2 linked regions of the Schizosaccharomyces pombe genome follow. Changing the gene in region 1 together with any one later gene gives a genetic interaction. Each region holds a gene or a part of one and is shown on either strand. Other genes may lie near its edges. The genes, in order: mam2 and map3.

Region 1 (14,822 bases):
TTCAGCTAGACTAGTAAACCAAGTTAACAGAAAATTTCGCAACCATATATTGACCCGCTGACTGGAAAGAGAAACAAGAAGAATCAAATAAAGACGTTGAGATGGAACTTGGGATTTCTACCTTTTATCCTAAACTTGAAAAAAAAAAGAAAACGTAACAGTAGTTAGTTGGTAGAGATTAAGAATGAGTCGGCATGAAAATATATGAATGCTAGTCCAGTGTAGTGGATGTCGTCACCGTTTTCAAAACGTATATGCGATGAAATGACTGGAAAAATTGGTAAAAAAACCAATTTTATTCTCAAAGAGATATTGTTTTTTGATTAACAAAAGACTTTTATGATTATAAAACTTTTCCCTTTTGATAGAAGACTAATAAACCAAGGAAAATGGAGCATATTGTTGATCATGCTGTTTGCATACACAAACAAAAAACCTAACCACACACTTTTGGTTGTAAACAATATCAAGTGACGTAATATGGCTACATTTAAATTCACAACATATGACATAATGTTTTGCAGCTTTTCCACTGTTGAGCATACCGGTGATAATTAAACGAACCAACATAGGAAGAAGAACATTACCATCTTTTCAGCATATCAAAGCAGCATACACCGGCTACTCTTAAGCTAAAGTGAAATACAAAAAAATACAAAACCTTCCATTATTTACTTACTTGTTAGCTTTAATTTATTCTTCTTTTTTATATCAAAGACTAGTTGATGAAGTGCGTAACAACAAAAGCAGTCGGCGGAATACACGTGATACTCTTCACTACGTCGATGTTTAAGGAAAAAGAATGAAAAATATGAAAATAGTTGAATTTATTAAAAAAAAGAAGATGAAGGAAATAAGATGTATGAATGATGAACTGTAGATAAAGGAACCACATAATCATGCCTATTAATCTGGCACACAATCTTTAGAGAAAGCAACAAGACACACAATAGACGTTTTTATATGTAAAAAAAAAATAATAATTATTATAATAAGTCAGCGTCCCCGTTCAAGATGTTGAAAATTATAGCCCAATTAATGAATGAGCTCTCTCATAAATGACTTAATCGATACCACGCTGTTAGATCGTTTAAACCTATGCAGAAGCGACACGGCGCTCATGTTCTTTGGCAAGTGTGTAGAGAAGCGTACCTACCAAAATTAAAATTACTCCATAAATGCGATTTCCATACAGTGTTTCGCCCAAGAAGGCAACTGCTAGTAAAGTCTGCAGAATACTGCGAGCAGATACAGAAATCATGTAGGTGACGGGAGAAGTCACTTTTATTTGTGTAAAAGTAGCAATGTTTAAATAAAAGTTAGAAAGTGACGAAAGAATAAGTACGATAAAAAATTTGATAGCCTGCATACCGACAACCTCCTGGACTGTGTGGAGAAGTTCTAGGGACGCCACGGATAGCAACAAACAAAACACCGACATTAAAGCTGAAAAGATGTAGATCAAATCTAAGGTCGGGTACTCGTGAACGTAATGCTTGACGGCAACGGATTCGATGGCGGTAGTGAAGGAACTCCAAACACCCAGTATAATTCCTATGGGGGCAACATGGCTCTCAAAACGTACACCAAAGCCAAAGCCAAGCATTACAAGTAAACAACCGCCAAAGGGAAATAAGCGAGTTTTTTGCTTCAACAATACAAATGAAAGGAGAATTGTAAAGGGTAGCAACAAACCTCTGGAAATTTGGTAAAATGAGACAGGTACAAAAGCCAAGCAATAGGTCTTACTAACGATGCCAAGAATCTTGACAAAGATAAACTTTTTAAGTTGAATTGCAGAAGCTAATCTTAGGGTTTGAAAATGAACGGAGGAGAATCGCCAATACATCTTTACCATGAGAGATGTGAATGCCATTTGAAACGACAACATCAGAAGTGGTGCGTTGATGATATTGAGAGCTTGCTTGTTGAGAATGGTAACTAGGATAGCGAAAACGATTTGGGAGGAAACCGCAAAAAATATGGTCAGTCGTGAAACAGGAGCATTTTCCGAGTCGGGCTCTTTTGCATTGGCCTCGAGAACACTCATCTCCTCCAACTTCCTGGTTGATATACCATCCTCAATATCTTTCGACAAGGGATCATCCGACTTGGAAAAATACAAGGAAGATTTGCCAGTGGAGTCGGTTTCCATAGAGTCCAACGCCGTTTGGCTATCAATGTGGTCTAAAGGATCTTCATCCTTTAAAGGAGAGTAATGCGCATTGACGGTTAGCTTGGAACTCATTTTAGTTAAATCGTTATGCTTTTTTATTGAAGAAAGTATTAGAGGCGTGAAGAAGAATTAAAACAATAAAATTTCATAAACAACCAAACAAAAAGATACTTCTACTCTGCCCAGAAGAGTCGGCTAGATGACAAGTATGCAATGAGGAGCGGCGGCTTAAAAAAATGAACGACCTTTTGCACCACTTTTCCAACGTGATTCACGTTAGTACCGATACAATACAAAGGGGAGATATTAACGAACAAATAACAAAAGACAGAAGACGCAAACGAATTTCACCAACACAGTAATAAGTTACACGTTTGCTTCCAACTGCACAGTATTAAGAATACGATGTGGTAGGAAAAATGTAAGCCTAGGAAGCACTTGGGAGGCGTTTTTACACGAGAACGCGAAGCTGCTTATAAGGAGGATGCAAGTCACAAAATTGAAGGTATTTTTTATAAGGGAATTAGACGAGACGGCCTTGAGGTGACAGCTTCAAGAAAAGCACATACGCCTTGATAAGAGGGGGTTGAGTCTTGTTTGTTAGAAGGGAGAGAAGTAGTAATATTGAATGTCGATGAGCCAGAGGAAGGGGAGAGAAAAGCGAAAAGGGTGCTGGTGGAAAGGAAGAAAGCAAAGAGGTAGGCACAATAAAGTGACCAAATAATAAAAAAAAGAAAAGAACAAAAAAAAAGTAAGTGAAATATGAAGGAACGAAAAATAATTAGGAAGAATAATTTAAGAATTTCATAAATTAATTTACCGGGCGCTTGGAAATATATTTTGTTTATACAACTACAAATTTGGTTGTTAGTTACTTTTCACATTTGGCTTTCTCATGCTGTACAAGACATGAATGCATCTTTTTCTCCATCTGTAGTTTATTTTTATTTAAATTGATTTTATTTATGTCTACAGTGTTAATCCCAACCTTTGTCCCTTATGGAAAGAATCTTCTAAACACTTCTTTCTCTTTCAGTAGTTTATTGTGCATTCTATGCTTCTACAAAGATGGTCCCCTTCTTTTTCTTTATTCCCCTCTTTCTGCTAGCTACTATTGTTTACTCTATGCTTCCTACACTTGGAACTTTGTTCTATCAGATGAAGCTTATTTTCAAGCTGCTCCTGGTCGTAGTGTACGCTTTGCTGTTTTGTGCTTGAAACCAATGGCCACGAAAAAGGCCAACAAAATGCACGTTTTCATGCAAGCAGCTTGCTTTCACTTCCGAATAGCAACTATGACGGTTATAGGTAACATGGCGCGGTCAGATCATGATACTGCGCTTAATTGCGTCAAGCGGATCAATTGAGATAGCTGATCTATCGATCGAGAGCATTCATGCATTGGTCTATTTGAAAAATGTGGGGCTAATTCAAAGTTAGAGGGGTCACAACGTTCAATCCCGTATTTATCAGGGATAAACAATCAGATTACGCCTGTAAGGAAACAACATCGCAAAAAATACACTAACAAACAAAGCAAATGTAGGAGGTGTGTGAAACCGGACAAGAAAGCAATAAACTAGACGTTTTAACTACCTTCTCAGCATCTCATGAGTTAGCTTGACTTATCTTTAACAGCGAGTATTTTTTATTTTTTTATTTTTTTTTAACCTATGCCATTTCATTTTTATACGAAACATTCAATTTTACCCTTCCACGTGACCTTCCTTTCTTTTTCCCGTCTCCTTATAGCTCTTGTTTTAAATCCCCTCCATCGTACCTCCCTAATTAACAGAGCGACTGGAGGCAGCCCTGCAGTTGCTACGACTCCGAAATTTCGAATGCCTTACTTGTGTAAATCCCATCCCCCACATAGGGCTTTTTTGTCAATCTTCGTCTTGAGAGCACGTTTCCTAGACTAAGACTTGATTTTCTTTTTGAAAACCCCAGCAGGCCTACGTGGGGGAAGTGACTTACGACTTGATTCCTTTTGGAGATACCCCAGCAGTACTGAATGGGGGTCACTCCAAGCCATATTCCATTCTGCAAATACGGACGGTGTTCGTTTTGAACATTTACTAATCAGCGTTTCGGTAAATACTGGCCAAATTACCCCTAGCTAACATGTTGCTTGAGTAGTATTGACGAAAACGTTATCGTACGAAGTTTGCTTGACTCATAACTACGGAACAACCAATCATACATTATCATAAACTTTAAACAATGATTTAGTCATGGGAAACCAAAGATGAAAACATTTGAACGAAGAGGATTTGCTTCTTATTTCAAACCGGCACATAGCATATAATCCGCGTTTCAGCAGGCATCCGTAACTTTCCTTTTACTCTATTTCTTTTCTTCTTTCCCTCTGCTTGTCAAATCTACTGTTCAGCTAACTTTTCATTTTCGCTGTTGGTTGCGCTATTTTTAAAGAACAAACGCGAGTTTCTTCACGTATAGCTTTTTCTTTTATATTATTGTCGATTCATTAGTTTAAAAAGCGCGTCCTCGTGTTTAAACAAGATTGTCCTTTATTTTTCTCTCTCTCCCTTTTTCCGTCTTTGCGTGTCTCTCTTTCTATTTTTTTCGCTTCATTCTTTCTTTCTCTTGTGTACGCACGCGTTCAAATTTCTTTTTCTTTTTGTTCGTACCTTCTCACTTTCACTGTTTAATCTGCACCTCCTTTCTTCTTTCTCTTTGCATTTGCTTCCTAAATCTTTAAATATCAGATTGAAAAAGTCTCGTTACCACTCATTAAGCTCCTTTGCATCCTTGTTTTTCGTTACTTTAAGGTTAGATTGTGCGTTACTTCTCTTTCCAGCCTTAGTCCTTGATTGCCGCATACTTTGGTCATACCAGTGAATTCAAACTCATCCTCTGTACATCAACCCTCCCATATATTGTATAGAATATTGGGAAAAGATTTAACGGTCAAGGGAACTATAAAATTTGGTCAAGTCTTTTTTTAACTACTCATTTCGCATCTTCCAAGTATAAATGCTCTGAGCCCCACTCTTCAAATTTTCTTCCTAGCCTGTCGTGATTTCGTGAGACCGAAGTCCGATTAAAACTCAACAAAGTAAGGTATTTCTTATATATTTTCTCTACTGAAAATTCGTCTTTTTTCGTTAATCATCTTCTTAATTTAATTTTTTTTTTCTTCATTTGCCGTTGCTTTTTTTACTCCCACGGCTCATAATACAAATAAAAGGAAATCTTCTAACTTTCTAATTTCTCTCGTTTAATTTTTGTTTTGGTTAGACATTTGCTACTTTCATTCGTTCCTTCTTCTTCCTGCCCAGAGAAGTCATTGGTATCATCTTTACACTTTTATATGGTTTCCCCCTTTGACTCATTTTCTTATCCTCGTTTCCGTTTGTGTGTCGATTATTTGTATTGAAGGGTTTTAAAAAAATTTTTTCCTCTTTATTTAGTTTTCACACTGGTTCCAAAACTGTTATCACACTTGTTAAAATAGAATAGTGAGTATCGGTTCAAGAATACTTGGTTTTTTCTTCTTTTCTTTCTTTTAATTCATATTTGATTTTTCTTATTCTGTTTATGCTCACATCCAATTGATATGGGCCTTCCATTACGGATTTTTGCTGGTAATGGTATCGGCGGATGGTGTCTTCGACTATTCTTATTTGGAAGCCTCATTCTTCTACTTCGTCCTTTAATCTTCTATTCGAACACTACTATGAAAAAGCTGAAAACCGAATATCCTATTTATCATCGTCATTTGTCAGCTTTAAAACGTAATTTTTATTACACCATGGATGCTCAGTTAGGAGGTATTCGCAATGTTGTTTTGATCAACCGCCCATGCTTTGCCGCCTCTGATAATTTTCTTACTTTAATGGGCCAAAACTGGTACTTGAAAGAACGTAATATTAATGTCCTTTCTGATATATGTTTTCCCCTTTCTAATAATGCTCACGATTCTCTTCCAACTTTTAATAATGGCAGCGACTTATTTAATCCTTTGTACTTTGCAGTTTTGAATGCTGCCACTCCTGCAAGGTTCACATTTCATCTGTTTAATCATGTCATGGACTCTGTTGTTCCTTTTGACGAGGCTAAAAAGTTCAAAGTTCGTTCTTTCCCCATCAATTATGCTGAATATGCCGACGATGAATGTCAACTTGCACTCAAAAAGATTCGACCAATTCCGGATAAGTACCTTGTCTCCACTCGGGTATTATCGGATTCACGATATCTTGAGTTAAGTGGTGCAGTTGTCGCCTTTGCCCCTGATGCGTCTTCTTCTTTGCTATTTGAATTAGCAGATATTAAGCAGCATAAAAAAACTTCAGCTGATATACTGATATTTCTATCCAAAGATCACAATTTGCCTGTTTCATTTTATGATAATTATAAACTTAAATATACATTGCACTTTTGGCAGCCTCCATCTTTTCCCGATTCCTCTACTATCGACGATCAAGCCAAACTTTTATTTGACTACGTGGTGTCCCAAGTTGTGAAGTACCCATATTTTGTAACTGATATTTATCAGATACATTTACTTGGCGTTTATCTTAACTTGAAGCATGTTTATTTACTCGAAAACGATGACGTGGAAGATGCTTATTATGAACGACAGTGGATGCAGGCGTTCCAGCGGAAAAATGTTGTTGCTGTAGCTGAGGAACTTCAAACAGCTCTTCGAATAATTGAACAATGGAAGCAACTTTAAATTACTTCTTCTGGATTCTTCTCTTATTTACTCCAGTCGTTTCTCCTTTTTTATTCTTTGCTTTTGTTCTTTGTTTTTATATTTTCATTTTCATTACTGTTGTTCTATGTTGTTCATTTTTTATTCACATATTTTCGGTTTCACGTTGTTTTTCATCTGTCGGTTTCACGAGGCATTTTGTCTTCGTAAACTACACTTTTATATTTGTTCTTATTTATTTAAGGTTGTTTCAATGTTCCGTCGTTTTGTTTCCTAATGAATTCCTCTTACACCGTTATGAGAAATTTCAGTCGATTTGTGCGGCAATTTCTACTCCTCTTATGCTGTCGTGCTTAATTAAGAGCATTAATTTTTCTAGGCTGTCTTGGACACATTATTAATGGTTTATATATACAATTTAACAAAAAAATTAGGTCGGTAATTTATTTATTTACAATAATAGAAATTCCTGCTTTTAAATGTTACTCATGTTTTCCGTGGATGTCAATCTTCAGAAAACTAGAAGCTCAGAATGTCAAGCTATTTTTGTTAAAACTAGGACCTAATAAGAAAACGCCCTAAATGGGCGAAACCAAATATATACGTCACGGGAGTCTAGTCATTAAGTCTGTTGCTATTGAAGTGTACTAGTGCATATTGAGTAAATAAGATCGTTGGTTACAAAAAGGTTGTATAAACATCAAGCATAAGTAAATAGCCCATCAAAAGAAAAAGGAATCAAAAAGGCAAATAAAAGAAGGAATCGTACCGTCTTTTAACGATGGTCGGATTAAACAGAAAACGTAATCATTTAGCAAAGTTTGAAATTTATGAATCAAACTTCGTATAACTCAATTTACTAGCACATAAAAAGAAAGAAACAGAACATTAAACATAAATATACTCTAAGTAGTTCTAGGACCCAATTTGTCTAGTGCACGTACTCCATACTCCTCCCATTCTGCCTTGGACACCCACATGTGATCGTTTTGAGCCATGATATCTGCCAATACGGCGCCGCCGATAAACACGGCATGACGGCGACGAGGAGCGTCTTCAATCTTAACCTTAAAGTTAGGCAAACGTGCGGGATCTCCATGAAGAACACGCTCAAACCATAACTGTTTTATTTCCTTTTCAAGACGTGAAGGAAGACCGGCATACATACTGCTACCACCTGAGAGAACAATGGCGCGATACAAATACTTGCGAATGTCCACATCAGCTGCTTGGATAGTGTCAAAAATAAATTCACTCAAACCTGGTTGTTCACTACCAACCAGATGAGGTTGAAATAGACATTCTGGACATTCATAACGCTCAGAACCAACTTTAATAACTCTTCCATCAGGAAGGGTGTAATTACGCATTAAAACGGTAGTTTCTTCGCTAAGCTTATGGTCCAATTCCAAATCATAACTAACGTAACAAAGTTTTTCTTTCATCTCGCGAACAGTTTCAAAGTCTGCTGTACGATTGAAAGCATAACCCTTACGAAGAAGTAAGCTAATCAAATAGCGGGTAGCATCCCTACCGGCAACGTCAAGGCGACCAACTAAATGATTTAAAACAACACTTTCATAGACAGGCACAATATGGGTTACACCGTCACCAGAATCAACAACTACACCACTGCTTAATCCCTGTGCGTATAAAGAGAGAACGGCCTGAATGGCGACATAAACACCACCAAAACCATACCGTTCAAACATTGTCTCACACATTTTTTCGCGGTTAGCAACAGGATTCATAGGGGGCTCGGTCAACAAAATTTTCCTACCCCTCGGATCAATTTTTAGTTTTTCAAAGAAAGTGTAATCCCAAAGTTGATTCATCTCTTCAAAATCACGGATAATGCCATTTTCCATGGGATATTTTACTTGAAGTAAAGATCTCACCGCCTCAGCTTCATCACCGACCATAACATCTTTAATTTGAACATTTCCTGTTTTCTCTTCAGCACGTAAAATGGGCCTTCCTACGATGGATGGGAATTGAAAGCGCGGAAAATTGTCTTTAGCATATCCGACCTTGCTAACGTTAGTCACAGTGTAAACAAAGATTTAATTAAACTGATTACCTTCACAAAACCAGTTCCATTATCTAGAACAATGGGAGCAGACTCCATTTTATAAACGTCTCGTGTAGTTGGTGAAAGGTTAGTTCTTAAGTCCACCCCTATGTAATGTACCGGCGGTAACTATCTGCCATATACCGTATGACACAGCAGCACTGCAACTGTAGCAGAGCATTCGGTGATATATCGTAAATATGTAATATCGTAGGAAAGCGAAGTGCAGTAATCTTGAGAATTATAAAACAGAAATGAAGTATCTAAATTAATTTAACAATTGGCTGCAAAAAGAATAGCTCAAAGGTTTTTACGGTTAATGATCTTATCTTCTATTGTACTTAGCATTAGTATCGTTACCCCTTATACTCAAAGCCATAACTGTGCATTTATAATTGTTCGGCAGTAATGTATATTATCGCTTATTAGTTAAAAGATTCTTCGTTTCACATAGTATTACTATTATTTAAAAGAAAAACACGGACTCTATTTGTTTGTTTAATGTGCAGGTAACACTTCGATCGTTTATTATGAGATTGGTATGACTAGGAGCGCTGTGCAAAAATGAAGAATCGCGGAACCGATTTAATAAAGAATTTATTTCTCTAGTAACTAGATGTGTGCATTAAATTGAATACAAGACTTAAACAAAAGAATTATAATTATCGACATATACCATTATTGAATATTTGTCATCTGTTTACTGAAATAAGTGGAGCAATGCAATTTGAGAATAACACATATCGGTTTAAAGATCCTTATTATATTGCTATTACTAAATTAAGGAGTGTAACGTTTCGCAGCTAAAACATTTCGATACAATATTTGATAAAAATAAATGGAGGATAAATACATTTTATTGTCAGCAGGTTGGTTATAATTTTTATTTAATAGCTCAATACTTACGTGTATATAGTGGAAACGTTTAAATCACGTCTGGAAGAACTGCTAATGCAATCGGCCAAAGTACAAAAGCAAACGATGCTTAGAAAGGAATTAGCTTCTTCGATGAATGATATGGCTTCTACGGTACAAGAAGCTTTAAATAAAAAAAAAAGTTCGTAAGGTAAGCACTTGGAGACTCAAAACATTATAGTTCATTATAGATTACGAAGGCAGTTCATTCACTATTGTTTTAATAAGTGTTTGTGAAGTACGACTTGAAGTTTTCATGATAATAAGTTATTATAATCATATAATTTCATTGATGTTTATAGTAAACAATTGTTCATGAAGCGAAAAAAAAAAAACCATTAGAAAACTTCCCTCTGAGCAAATTATGATTACAAGCCTATCGTAAAAAAACCGTCTATGTTATTTGGGACTGTTATTGAGCCAGTATTAGGAATTATCAAAAAAGATACATTCAGGCGTAAGTTACGTCCACTTTTTAGTTTCAGATTCATCAGAAATCGAATAATCGTCACTGGGAGTATGTTTGATATCAAACGTTCTATCAACTCTAATCGAAACCTCGGTGGTTTCTCCTTGCGCAGATGAAGTTTTCATGCTTTGCAATTTCAGAGCTGTACTAGACGCCCATAAACTCGAAAGAGGAAGAGAAATGATTAGCAGACATTGAGTCATAGAGCTAAAGCCATCATACGTATGGATAAAACTATCTATTATAGTAAAGGTAGCTGGAACAATAAGACATTGGCAGCTAATAACTAAAATACACTGCATCGGACCAAATGGAAATTGCCCAATTTTTTTCCGTATTAATATGGCACGAAAGAGTTTGTATGAAAAAACACCACTGTGAAAAATAATGCTAAAAGCAAAAAGTATTTTAGCAATAAAGTAGGGCCAAGAGTATCCAACAATGGTCTTGCTGCTAAGTGGAGTTAACCATAACAGATACTGAATCTGTTGACACATGTTAGTAATCCAAAATGCGAGAACCAAAACAGTTAAGCAGGCACTAATAACAGTCATTATCCTTTGTGTCTTTCTATCATGTGCACAAATTATACGAACTTGAATCATCATGCTCATCTCAGCAGTAAAAATGATGACCGGTGCAAGCAACAAAATTAAAATATTAAACACATGGACATACATATGAACCATGTTTAAGATAAACCCGTAATTAACCAGGATACTGTAGCTATTGCTGCATATGGTCACTATATTCAAAATGGCCCGAAGACACATTGCAACAATACTTGCCGAATTAAAAACAAAAACTGGGTGTTTTCGTTTTTCGGATGATGACAATAGACAAACCATCAAAATGGTAAGGACTCCTAAAGCAAGTTGGGCAGACAAAGTCATTCCAGTTAAAAGTCTATCTCTTTCATATGCATCAATTGTTGAAACTGGCACTTCAATCTCTCCTACAATAGAGACAATGGTAATATTTTGGTGAATAATTGCGGATGCATCGGGAATAGTAAAGTCTTTCCACCATGGTTGTCTCATAATGTCAGAGGGAGCAAGAACAATATAAACCCGAGATTTTTTTAGTTTAAGAAGTTTAAAAATGTGATTTGTAAAGCACTTGATGACTCAGTTTCCCAATGAACTGTTATGCCAATAATTCCTCTTTGTTTAGAATTTCCAGAAAACACTTCTATGTCTCAAAAGTTAAATTTTCGCTTGAAGATATACAGCAAATTTCCAAATATATGGACTCAAAACACACCAATGGAATGCTGTTCGAACAATTGCAAAATTGTAGTTTAAACAGATTCGAAACAAAAAACAAAAGGATTTACTATTGTTTAGACAGTTCTTAAAAATTATTTTTCATCTTTGTCAGAGATCTAGCTGAATTATATAACATTTTTTGTGGTACTCCATTGTTCAGATTTCCTATTGTTAACTTCATTGTCTAGTACCACACCTGAAACAATAGAAATGGAGGAGGTAATTATTAATCAAAGAGATAAGGAGAAATTAGGTGTAACTAACTTTATTGAAGTATGAAAAGTTTAGAGCGTTGGCGTCAAAAGAGGCTGAAAAACGAGGGTATTTATTTCAAGAAGCTCAGCATGCCTATTCAGCAGGAAACAAGGCTAAAGCGCATGAACTAAGCCAAGAAGGAAAGTTATGTGGAGAGCGTATGGAAAATTATAATCGACAAGGTAATCTCAAATTCTCATTAAAAGCTGTGATTGTTAGTTCAAACCCTATAAACTTTCAATAATAGAAAAACAAACCCATCATGAGATTTTTCTTTCTTTCTTTTCCACTCTTTTTGTTTGGTATCTAATTCCGGTAGTTATCGGTCAGACAATACGCCAAACAATAGTAGTTATGACAATGAACTATTCTTTGTACAAAGTGAAGAGCTCTGAAACAGCTGAATAAAGCCATGTGATTTAAGAGAAAAATGGGTTGGCTTCTTTATAGAACTTAAAACACTGGGTTTCTTCAAACCCATATTGGCTTCGAGAAAACAAAATAGAAGTGTTTTATGACTGTGCTAATTATTGATAGCGGCTTCAGCCATTTATTTATATAAAAACTCTCAATGCAATCCCGATGAAATTGATTTACATGGTCTGTACATCGATGAAGCTGTACAAGCAGTACAACAGCGAATTGAGAATTGCATCCGACGTGGTGACAATCATTTACATATGTATGTTTTACGCTTAATTAAAATTAACTCTTTTTTAGTATAGTTGGGCGCGGTAATCACAGTGCTAATCATGTGGAAAAACTACGACCTGCAATTGTGCGAATGCTTGAGCAGCAATCTATAAAATACAACAGTGAAGTAAATGAAGGCCGCATTTATGTTTATTTACCATCTGCGACTTCACCTATTCAACCAAATTTCAATTGCATTCAAGAACCTCAAGAAGCATATTCTCGTCCTCAACATTCAACTTTGACTGATCAAGTTGAGCCTGAAAAAATTGTTGAAGAAATTGCTACGAATTGTTTTCCTCGTCTAAAAACATGTTGTGCCATCATGTAACAGTTTGTTTTTTGCTTGTTAACACAGGCGACCATGGATACCAAATTGGGTCAACAAAATTTTAGGCGGTGAAATTATTAGCCAGGTGTCTGTGTATTAATCTTTTATTTCGATTCGGTCATTATTGTATTTATTGGGTAATTTAGGCTCTAGATTTTTTTGCTTGTTGCAACCTTAGGATTTTTTTTTTATTTCAAATAAATATTGAAACTTTTTTTAATAGATTATTTTATAGGAATATTTTTTTAATAGGTTTTCTCTGCTTTTTGTAAAAAATTCATTTTTATTATTATTTTAAAGATAATAAATCTAGCATTATATTGCCTACTAAAAGTTTTGTATAATTTAATTTATTTAAATTTTGTTTATTGTTGTTCATTAATTTTAACAACTGATTATATCAATTTCATTAAACGGTTACATAAATTTGAAAATTGTTTACACATAATAATAATAATAAATTTAGGTTCGATAAAATTTCGTAAACAATGACTAGTACATTCAACTGAATTATATATATATATATTTTTTTTTATTATTCTTTAAGCTGATAGAGAGGGTAGTACTAATCGTAAATAGTCAGTACCTCTACTGTACGTAAGCTCGCAATTCTTTGCTCGAATTATTTACCACAAAATTGCCTTGCCTTGACATATATTAAATACAGCTACAATTTTCAAGCTTATTTGCTGAAAATAATTGTCGAATGAATATATTTTAATTTGACAATATTTAAATTGCTTCCGCAATCATGGATGATGAAGTCTATAAACAAAGACTCACAGCTTTGAATAATTTGCGTATTGTCATTTTCTTCGATATTCTTATTATATTGTTAGGCTACATAGGAACTTGGAACTTAAAAACTTTACAATTAGTAAATCCTAGCTTATGGTCATTTTCTCCATCTCTATGGATATACATTAGGTATCTTATTTTATGTCGGAAGGAATTTCTTTCTTCCGGCGTATTTTTTAACTAATTGAGATTCATGAGAATCTTAACATGAAGAAGTTCTAACTATTTCAATCAGGGGAACAGTTCTTTGTGCAGATTGCATATTTACAGCGGGTTCGGCAAACGAATACTCTGCCGTTCAAAATTCTGTGTTCCAAGTTTCCAGCCTTATGTTTTATGGCTTGATGATGGAATTTTTTGGGTATTCTTTTGATGTATGTATTTATTTATTAAATTTTCTGGAGAATTCTTAATTAATGATTGTAGAGAGTTGGTTGCATGGAACTCGCTTTCATAAGCTTTTCCGCTGCTTGCTATTTTAATATAAGGTCAATTAAATCTCTATCTTTAAAAAATAAAAATTGGACAATAATCAGCATAATTGAAATTCCTATCAAACTGCACTTCATACTTAATGTTCTGCTGTTTCTTAAGTTTTCTGAATACATGCTTCCTTTACTTGGCAGAGTACATTTGTCCTATCATTTATTTGCATTATGGGTTATTAATTTGTATATTTGGATTAAGTTGATTGACTCCAAGGATTTTGTACTAGGATTTCTTGCAGGATTATCCGTACTTCTTTTAAATACGGGTTCATTAATTACAGCAAAACCACTTATTTCTTACTTCAATTTATTAACTTCCTGTTTAATTATTTTCCCTAGTATATGGATTTATGCAATTGTAAGCAAAAATTATGTTATCCAATCTAACCTTTCTAGGAAAAGAAAAATTTTAAAAACCTAAGTTATGAGGACGATGATTATCGAAATTACTGGTAATGGAGATATTTTTTACAAAAAAATAAATAAAAGAATAATATTTATCTTGTCCATATATTCCTAAAAATGTCGACACTGAAATTCACATCACTATAATCTTAAGAGTATTGAAGCATTTCGTCCCGTATTAAAAATTGTTGTCTAGCTAACAGCTTTATTCCCTTTAACCAAGATGCGGGCATGATTGATTCATGATGCAAGGCCTGATTCAGGGCTCGAATTCC
Region 2 (9,606 bases), 1.9 Mb from region 1:
TATTGTGATATACGAAACATCAGCATCAGGTTATAGCCGTGCAACATTTTCTGATAAATGATGAGGAAAACAGATGCTATTGTCTTGCTCATGTTGGTTCTCTGGGTTGAGATAATGAACATATTGGTATATAAAACTTGCACACGGATCAACGAGAATTGCTTACTTTTATTGCTCTTACATTTTATTGCTTTTATTTTATATAACATTGATTGCTCTCTTCTTTTCTTGTACTAAAAGAAATACAAACATACAAATATGGCTTACATGTTTTACTTCGCAGAATTATAATTAATTAAATACCCAAGTTATTCGTTAGCATGGTTGAGTATATTGTTTAATAATAGCGCTATTTAAGTCGTAACTTTATAGGATAAGTATTACCAGTACTAATACGTGTAAGAAGTTACCTAGTGCTATTGTTAACAAAATATAAGCTCGTTAATGTGAGTAACTTGTTTTATTTTCTACTTGAAATTTTTAACAAACAAACCAGTTAAAAAAAATTGATCTGGATCAATACTCCAGCTATTTGGAAAGAATTGACTTACGCGTAAATGTGTACGCGTTAATGTTTACTGATTTCGTTTTCGGGTTTAGAGAAGTAAAGGATGGAATTAGATTACAGGAAAGAGTATTTTTATAAATTATATATAAAGGAAGATATGACTAACGGCTAGTGTACCAATTCCATAATATACCGAGTGCAATTCAAACCAAACTCTCGTATATAGGCTGCGATTTATAAAGTAAAACTTCAGCGCATCAGCACAATTGTTCACGAGTACAAAATCTAAAAAGAAATTTTCTTTGCAATGCGCTCATCAATTAATATAAACGACCGCGATATATGAAGTCAAACAGTCGTTAAACACCAAAATTTCTTTACGTATTTACTTCGCAGATTACCCATCAAAAAGATATTCTATGGATTTATTAAAGATAAAGAATTCGCTTTTGATGCCTCAAATTGGAATACTATGCTTTAGATAATCAAATGGGCTGAACTCTTTGACCGACCGAAAATGGATCTCTATGCTGAGGCTTCTCACGGTAGGTATATAAAGAGCCTACTGCCCTTCTTCAATATGCCAAATAAATACAAACAAGGTTCTATACTCAACAGTAATTTTTCTTACTCATTTAATTACGAACCGTGCTCTGTTTTCGCAAGTTGTTTTCAAGTTTTCAAGCTTCGCGCGGGATATCTGGCGAGCGATCAAAGGTGTTTCCAATAGCTTTAACCTTTTCGTTTCCTGTCCTGTATTTTTAAATAATACATTTTCCGTGTCTATTACTTTTATTTTGGAACAATATTGAAGTTCAAATTGTACACGACTTTGGCAATCTTAGGAAAATCTTGGCATATACAATTCCAATTTTTGCTCTATCCAAATATCAAGACTACCATCATCACTGAATTTATACTCTTTTGTTTGCGCATCGTCTTTCGGCTTTCTTTTTCACCTTCTTTAATATTTTGAAATTCTATATAGGTCTTTGTGTACCATTTAATTTTTGTATCTTACTTTCTTTTATATCATATTTATTAGTTACTTATACGTTGAGTTTACCATGTTGCCTATTGGGATTTTCTATCAATTTTATGCTTACTTTGCCCTTGTTTTGTCTATCCCCATCTTATACATGCAGTTGCGTGCGAGAAACATTCCCTGCCTTTTGCTTTTATTTTGGTTAACCCTAACAACTCTCATCTACGTTGTCGAGTCTGCTATTTGGAGCAATCCCTACGCAGAAACAATTAGATGGATGGGTTATGGATTGTGTGATATTACATCTAGAATTGTCACATGTTCAAGTATTGGAATTCCTGCATCTGCCTTCACTTTGGTCCTGTATCTTGATACAGTCATTCGCAGAGACCACCCTCTCAAACGATATGAAAATTGGATTTGGCATGTATGCTTATCCATCCTGCTGCCATTGATTATCATGGCAATGATGGTTCCTTTGGAAAGTAACCGTTATGTGGTAATATGCATGAATGGATGCTACAGCTCTTTTTACCAAACGTGGTACACGCTTTTATTTTTTTACATCCCTCCATGCCTGTTGTCTTTTGGTGGCTTGTTCTTCGTTTCCCGAATCGTCGTGCTTTACTGGCGTCGACAAAGAGAACTGCAGCAATTTTTTCAGAGAGATTCTCAACTAACCTCAAAACGATTCTTACGCTTGCTATGTTTGGCAGCTGTATTTTTCCTCGGTTATTTTCCACTAACCATTTTCATGGTCGTAGCTAATGGAAAACTACAGCAGTTTTTACCATTCAACCATGAACTAGTAGAAGCCTGGCATCAGGAATCAATTACCTATTATCCTACAACTAAGGTTGGACTAAACGACTGGGTCCCTCCAACCGTTCTTTACCTCATGTCTTTGTTTTTCAGTACAAGTGGTGGTTGGACAGAAAAGGTTGCATTAATCCTTTGGTCTCTTTTGGTATGGCTTCCTTTTACCAAAAATACCGCGTTGGGTCGTCATGCACAATTCAAATTGGATTGCTGTAAGAGTATCGAATCAACTATGGCAGGAAAGACTTTGGATTCTACTGATTTTAAGGAAAAATGTTTAGTCTTGGAGAGGCAATGGAGTAAATCGTCGATTCCAAGCGACAACTCGAGTGAACTCCAAGACGCCGCCAAATATGTCTAAAGCACTTCCGATCGTTAAATCAACTTTTCCTTTACTCAATTTATCTACCAGATCCAAATCTTCTATACTGCGACCGCCTCCAGCGTAAGTGGTAGGAATTTTGACCCATTCTCCCAATTTAATTACCAAGTCCTCATCTATACCCTTACATAGACCTTCAACGTCTGCAGCGTGAATTAAAAACTCCGAACAATACTGAGACAGTAAATCTAAGTTTTCTTCATTTAGTTCAAAAGCAGTCATTACTTGCCATTTATTGATGGCAGCGAACCACCTATTATCTTTTCGACGACAACTGTAAGTTTTGTTATTAATAATACTCTTGGAAGTTTCCTCCTTTGCTCGCGAATTGGTTTCTTACCTCACATCCACAACCAAGCGGTCTTTTCCAATTTTTGAAGATATAGCCTTCAGTCTATCCAAATCAAACTGGGCATCTGGGAACAGCCAAGAAGTTACTATTACCTAGACAAAGTTAGGAACTTCACACTTTCATTTGATTGTTAATCATTTTACGCATCATTCTTTTTTTGTAACTTTACTAATGCCTTTGGAACACAACTCTTTTTATGAGCATGTATTTTTATGACCAGCTTTAGCTGCAATTTTTTAATCAATATTGCATACTCAGAAATGAATATACAAATAATCACATCCGAGATTGCTTAATGTAAAAGAAGATTAACGTTTAACATAGCATGTAAATTAATTTTAAATTTACCTTTGAGGCACCTTCTTGTAGCCAGTTTTGTGCATTAGAAATATTAATCCCCCCACCAATCTGAAGAGCACCTTCATTTGTAAGTTGTAAAATAATTAAAATTATTTATCCAAAAAAAAAATGCACGACATACCAGGCCATGTGTGCAAAGCCGTTTTAGCTGCTTCTTCGCAGTTCGGCCCAAGCATAATAACATGTGCTCCTTCGAGGTGATTCAATTTGTACAGTTCAGCATAATAACTGCTAGGTTTTAATGATACATAGTTAGTTTTCACGTCTGCGTCATTTCCTAATGTGCCTCCAACAATTTGTTTGACTTGACCTTGATGAATATCGATACATGGTCGAAACAAAGTGTGCTGCGATTTTTCCATATCTTCAAATTTCCCAATAACGTGCAAAACAAAAAAGAGAAGAAATGAAACAATCACAGAATTGCTATGTCTTATATAAAAAAATAGTTGAAGTGAGCAACTTTGAGACGTTACAGCACCAGTGAAGTAAGCTGTCAAATACAAACTCCACCATAAATTTTTATTTCATTCTTCCTATCACCTTCTTTATAATTTTGACAATAAACATGTCAGAGAATGCTTTATTAGCCTTACAGAGGCATTTTGAAGATCAATTTGGACACATCGAAGGATTACAACCTGTTTCAGCAAAGCCTTCTGAAACTGCTTTCAATTCGGATGCTTCAGAAAAAGAACAATCTCCAACTACCAGCAATGAGGAGGAAGACGCTATTTCAGATATGGAGGATAAAGAAGATGTGTCTTTTGGGTCCAAAATTCTACGAGTTTCCCATCAAGAAGTTGAGAAGCCAACTCTGTCAGCGACCGTAGGTCGTGTATCTTTTTTAAAAAAAATGCCCAAGTTAGAAGATGAAGAAGAAATTCTAGCAAAGAAGAGAGAAGAACAAAAATTGCGAAAACGATCTCGTCAAAATGATGATGGTTCAGATGATGATGAAGTCGAGAATCTAAAAAACGATTTAGAACTACAAAAACTTTTACGAGAATCTCATCTTTTACATGAGGCAACCTCAAGGACAGGTCAAGTTCAGTTGGTTGCTGAAGGAAAAATCCGTCACAAAGTCGTTCAGCAGCACATTGCTCAACTGGGCGGTAAGAAGGAAACCGAGAAAATGCCAATGGCTGCTCGTAGAGGAATGAAGAAGAAACAGAAACATATAGAGAAAGTAATTGAGAACGAAGCCCGGGAGAGTGGTACGGTGTTAGCAAAAAAACGAAAAGAAAGAAAACAGTTCAAAAAGGGATTTCGTCCTGTTACTTTCTCAGCGCCAGGTAAGCTCGTGGGCGGTACTTTACTATTGCCAAAAAGCATGATACCTAAATAAAAATTTAAAAAAGAGGAAAATTTGATTTTCGTGACAAAAAAATAATGACTTTTTCTTCTTAACTATTTATACCACCTTTAAAAATACTGAAGCTATGGAAGTTGGATTTTTAGTAACTTTCGACACATTCAAATGGTGTTTTATTTTCCTTTTTTTTACCTGGAACATTTAAGCTGATTATATTTGTGAATGTAAGACGCATACGGACAAGGAATTTTGGTTTTGCATAGAGGGTACTTAGTTTTTAATATTTGAACACATTTAACGTAATTTGAAAATAAAAATGGTACTATTATGAAAATGTTCAAAGGAACAAACTATAGCAGATGAGCGAGCGACGAGAAAAAAGAAACACAAAACAAATAATTTAAAAAGTATAGTTTACTAGTACTGAGTCCGCATATTCATGAGTAAACAATACTACAATAAGCAAGCAAAAACTAGAAAGCAAAGTCGAAGAAATAAATTAAGTAAATCTTTATCTTCAATTCAATTTCATAGTTTTGAGTAATAGTTCATCTCAATAACAAAGATTTATGCTATTGAAAATATACATATTACCCAATAGTATCGAAAGCTTTATCTTGCTCATTTATTCATTTAATGAGACTTGAGAAAATCAGGCTTGGCAAAAGAATCGGCGATTTCTTGAGTGGAGGCGGTATCCCAGAAAATAGAATCAGCAGCCAATTCTTGCTTCAAATCATCGAGACGAAGATTAGGATCATGTTTTTGCTGAGGAAGCTCATTTCTATCAGTTTGATCCTTGTGGTAAGAAGGGAAAAGTTGTTGGTCAAATTTGTAACCAGTTTGAACAGCTGCTAAAGTTAGTAAAAACTGCTTTCATCTAAACAGGAAAAAAGGTAGAAAGGAAGTAGTTTCTATAAAAACAGTTTTCCATTAAAAGTATAAACATGAAGAAAGAGTGCTTTATAGAAATTTTTGATTAAGGTATTAATAAACAAATCCACTCATTTTTTTTTTTTAAATTTGATTCACGTACCTTTGCGACTAAATGATTGTTAGTTATTATACAAAAAGACTAAAAAAGAGTTAAATCATCAAATGCCGTGCTGCAGTACAATTGTATTATAAGTTTTCAAAAAAGTACTTAGACCTTTAAGCCCTGTCTCTTACAAAAAAAGATAGCAGAACAATCAGCATTTTGGATAATTCAACGTTTAAAAGTAAAAAATTGGATTAAACTTACACTCTGGCTCCAACATCAAAAAGAGTAGTTTGAACTAGCTGGGGAAGTTCGTCATGATCGGGAAGCTTGAACGTTTCAGACATCCTGGATAAGTAAAACAATTAAAAAGTATCAAACAGGGGGAAATTGACAAAGTATAGTTAAATATAGGTAAAGACGGAGTGGTGAATCACAAATGCTAGCAATTACCAATCGCAGAGCAATCTTTTAATTTTCAATGATTAGGTGGTAGATGGTAAGTAGTTTGGGGTTGCGATTGTAGATCATACGAATTTTCTGTGACTCGAGACAGGTAACACTTTTTCTATTGTTTACCTATGGAAAAAAAAAACAAAACAGTGTAATGCGATACATATTTCCTTTAAACAGTTATGTTATGGGTATCATGAGAAACTAAATTTTCATCTTCGTAAAGGAGGGTTCTTTTTTAATCGTCTTTCTTGGAATTTCTTCAAATCATGAATTCAACTTGCATAAATGGATAAGAAAAGTTGGTTGTAAGAATCTATAGATATATATTTAGCATGTTTCTTTTATTTAAACGAATATTCCTTTTAGAAGCGAGTAAGCTTCAAGTCGTATAGAACGCAGACGATATTAAGCCTAATAGGATCTTTAACGCTTAACTTAATAGCAAGCACAATGAGTTTTAGATAGCTGAGTACTTTAAAGCAACCTAACTTCCCTTGCAGCTAAAAAAGTTTATTGAACTTGATTTAAGACGCTCTTCTTGGACTGAGCAAGGACTTCAAAAAAGCCCGCATTCGTTGTCAAAGTTTTATCTCATCTAACGACTAAAGTAATATGAGTCAATGCTCATATAATATACAGTCGAATATTTTTTATATTTTATTACATTTATTTTCCCAAGTAGTTTTTCCAGTTCATTCTAAGTAACTTTTATCGTAGATGAAATATATCCTGTAGAGAGCTTTTATCCTCTTCCTGAACGAGCAATACGTTTTATTAATTTTCAATTCCTCAACAACTAAAACCACATCCTTTTATCAATCTTAATTTTCACTATAAATCCGTTCAAATTACCTAGTGACAAACTGTGTGGTTTTTGTTTCAAATCTGAAACTCACTCAATTAATCATAATGATTTTTTAAAATGAGTTATCATTGCCCATTTTACAGCTATTCACTCAATTAATCACTCAATTCTGACATTTAATACGTTTGTTTGTTTAGTTCCGGTTATATGATCAATCGATGAACTCATGAGTGTTTTATAATTTTTTAGTCATTTTTAACGTTGTTTAACTTATAACTTTCCTGTTTATTTATTTTTTTTCTTGTGCTCTACCGAATCCCAGTTTCATTATACATATTCTCTAATCCGTCTTCTAATATTGTACACTTGAACCTAGAGCTAGGGAATCCACCAAGCTTCATTTCAGTAGGTTTTTTCGATGCTTGTTCGCATTGAAAGGGATTATTCGGTTTCAGGAGATAAATATCCTCAATTTCCAACCGATTATCCTGTACCTCTTCGAGCTTATGTGAATCTTGAGGATTGGGATGTATTCATTCACACATTAAACGAGAAACTGAGAGAAGCCTTCTGTCCATGGTCAATTGGAAATCTATTAGATGGAATTCTATCTGTTTTAACGATTTATATCTCGGAGTTCGTATTTGGCAGTATTCATCGTAAAAGAATTGGGGCGATCGATTTGTACATCCTGGACTTTGCAACCCAACATAATTTATACGTTGCCAGCCTTCGCAATATGGGGTTTTTGAGTCTCGTTTTTCATACAAAAGAAACAAATTCGAAAAGTAGTACTCTCCATTCCAATCCGTACTGCCCGGAGCACCATTCTATACGAACACTTCCCTCTGCCGTGACTGCCACCACTTCAAATATCTCAACTTCTAGTTCTCACAGAAGTGATCTGCCAAACGAATGGACGAATTCGACCCTTTAGACGCTGTGCAACAAATTCATGTTCAAGCAAGACACCCGTAAGTCTCAATTTGCTATACAAATAAGCTGGCAGAATCAAAAGACTTAGAAAATGATTGCTACCTTTATAAACGCACAAGCAATTAATGCAAATTGTAAGAAAAAACGATGGATAGCTGCTATTAAATTTTCATGAAAAATTTTTAGCCTAATCGCCATTTGTTGGATTTCGTACTGATATATATTTTTGCTGATTTTTACTTGTTTTTCCTTTTTGCCTTGCTTTTCTTTTATTTGTATGTCATCGAATGGAAAATTTGGCTAACACTAATTTCAAGAAAGAATCGGTTGCTGTCAATTGCACACGATGCCAAGTTTGTCGACTCAGTTATAGCTTCGTACCCCACATTTAAACCTGTTGTAAATGAACGATGCGGTACGTGGTATGTCAACCGACGACATGCTCCGATTTCTGTTTATTTCAAAAGTACTGATGGTCATACCGGGCAATGGTCTTTTAGCTGTCGTCGTCTCAATTTGCATTTGCTAAATGAGATAACCACTTGTGATGGATTGATTATAGTAGATTCTACTCGTCGTGGAAAGAGAATGCCCGATGCTCTATCAAAGACGATTCCGATATGGATTGCTACGCTCAATAAATGTGTTTTCGAACGGCTTCGTCCCCATTCCTTTCCTAATGCTCGTTTGGCCTTTTTACCCCCGTTTTTACCTGATACAGAAAAATCATCTATTTTACAGAGGCTAGATGGATTTGTAGATTCTTTAATGCAGTCCGGCATTGACTTAGATGCGTTGGCGGCTAAGCTAACTAAACCCATTCGTCCTTTATGGGTAACACCTGCTAGTCGTTTAACATCTGCACAATTTGAAGAATATTTTACAGTTGTTCTGGTTACTGCAAGTGCTCAAGTACAGAATGGGTACTCCCGAGAACATGGATTTCTTTACGTTCAAGGAGCAGCAGATGACGAAGAAGAATGGTCGCATGGGCTGACCCCTGAAGTCTTTTGGCAAAATACTGAATCTATCCTCACATGCCCAGAGGAGCAATTGGAGCAAAAAATTAGCCTCCTACTATCTTCAACTAGAAACTCACCTACCATGTCAAATTCTTCGTTAACCCATCTTTTACCAACTCCTATATTTGTTGGGGATGTTACGGGATTTTATCCCCCTCCAGAAAATACATCTTACTTTGTTTTGAATTTGTCGAATACCACCCTGAATGTGAAGAATGAACTTTGTTTTCCAATACCGTCAGGAAAAAAAGGTGCTCCGGTGTTTCGCAAGCATTTCCCTTCAATATTGCAAGAATTAAATTCACTTGATCCTCCATTTTATGAGAGAGATGCTATATTTATTGTCGATGAAGGAAATGCTAAAGAAGCCGCCTCTTGTCTTGCATTGATGATTCTTTGTTTATACTACGACCTCCATATGCATTTACTTGCCCATCCTATATCTCTATCTGCATCTCAGTCTCACCTTACCAAGCAAACGGTTCGCCAATTTCTGGTAAAAATTACAGAACTACACTCCAAAACAAATCCCTCACGAGCATTCCTTCTTGCCGTCAATTCCCTTTTACTTAGTGCCAATACTATTGCTACTTCTTAGTAGTGGCACTTGGAATGGCAAAAATGTTTACGGTAAATAAAATAACGTAACATGAATCGTTTCCTTAAACGAATCCCAATGTCAACATT

What was found.
Region 2: of mam2 (region 1) and map3, changing one suppresses a phenotype caused by changing the other (phenotypic suppression), as found in Schizosaccharomyces pombe (one study listed by BioGRID).

What each region holds. Positions count from the first base shown.
Region 1 is NC_003424.3:4,777,215-4,792,036, reverse strand, and holds mam2 (pheromone p-factor receptor Mam2), read right to left. Parts: upstream 11,350-14,822; coding exon 10,303-11,349; 3' UTR 10,115-10,302; downstream 1-10,114. Other genes in the region: phosphoenolpyruvate transmembrane transporter Pet1, read right to left, coding at 1,097-2,248; SPOM_SPAC22F8.03C (uncharacterized protein), read left to right, coding at 3,142-3,543; Golgi 4,6-pyruvylated galactose (PvGal) residue biosynthesis protein Pvg5, read left to right, coding at 5,757-6,875; ARP2/3 actin-organizing complex actin-related protein subunit Arp2, read right to left, coding at 7,760-8,884, 8,935-8,982; protein Fta6, read left to right, coding at 9,764-9,794, 9,842-9,990; SPOM_SPAC11H11.03C (uncharacterized protein), read left to right, coding at 11,788-11,796, 11,852-12,014, 12,370-12,514, 12,553-12,856; protein mug162, read left to right, coding at 13,608-13,783, 13,890-14,028, 14,081-14,500, 14,539-14,598; sst6 (ESCRT I complex subunit Vps23), read right to left, coding at 14,697-14,822. UniProt on the Schizosaccharomyces pombe protein: Receptor for the peptide pheromone P-factor, a mating factor of S.pombe. Pheromone signaling is essential for initiation of meiosis in S.pombe; P-factor signaling alone may be sufficient.
Region 2 is NC_003424.3:2,826,958-2,836,563, reverse strand, and holds map3 (pheromone M-factor receptor Map3), read left to right. Parts: upstream 1-1,575; coding exon 1,576-2,673; coding exon of another isoform or gene 2,674-2,968; 3' UTR 2,969-3,034; coding exon of another isoform or gene 3,035-3,138; 3' UTR 3,139-3,333; downstream 3,334-9,606. Other genes in the region: his6 (1-(5-phosphoribosyl)-5-[(5-phosphoribosylamino)methylideneamino] imidazole-4-carboxamide isomerase), read right to left, coding at 2,590-2,968, 3,035-3,138, 3,395-3,465, 3,528-3,768; rRNA processing protein Faf1, read left to right, coding at 3,975-4,754; spd2 (ribonucleotide reductase (RNR) inhibitor family), read right to left, coding at 5,355-5,572, 5,758-5,765, 5,965-6,047; palmitoyltransferase complex subunit Erf4, read left to right, coding at 7,380-7,898; rit1 (initiator methionine tRNA 2'-O-ribosyl phosphate transferase), read left to right, coding at 7,877-7,935, 8,215-9,517.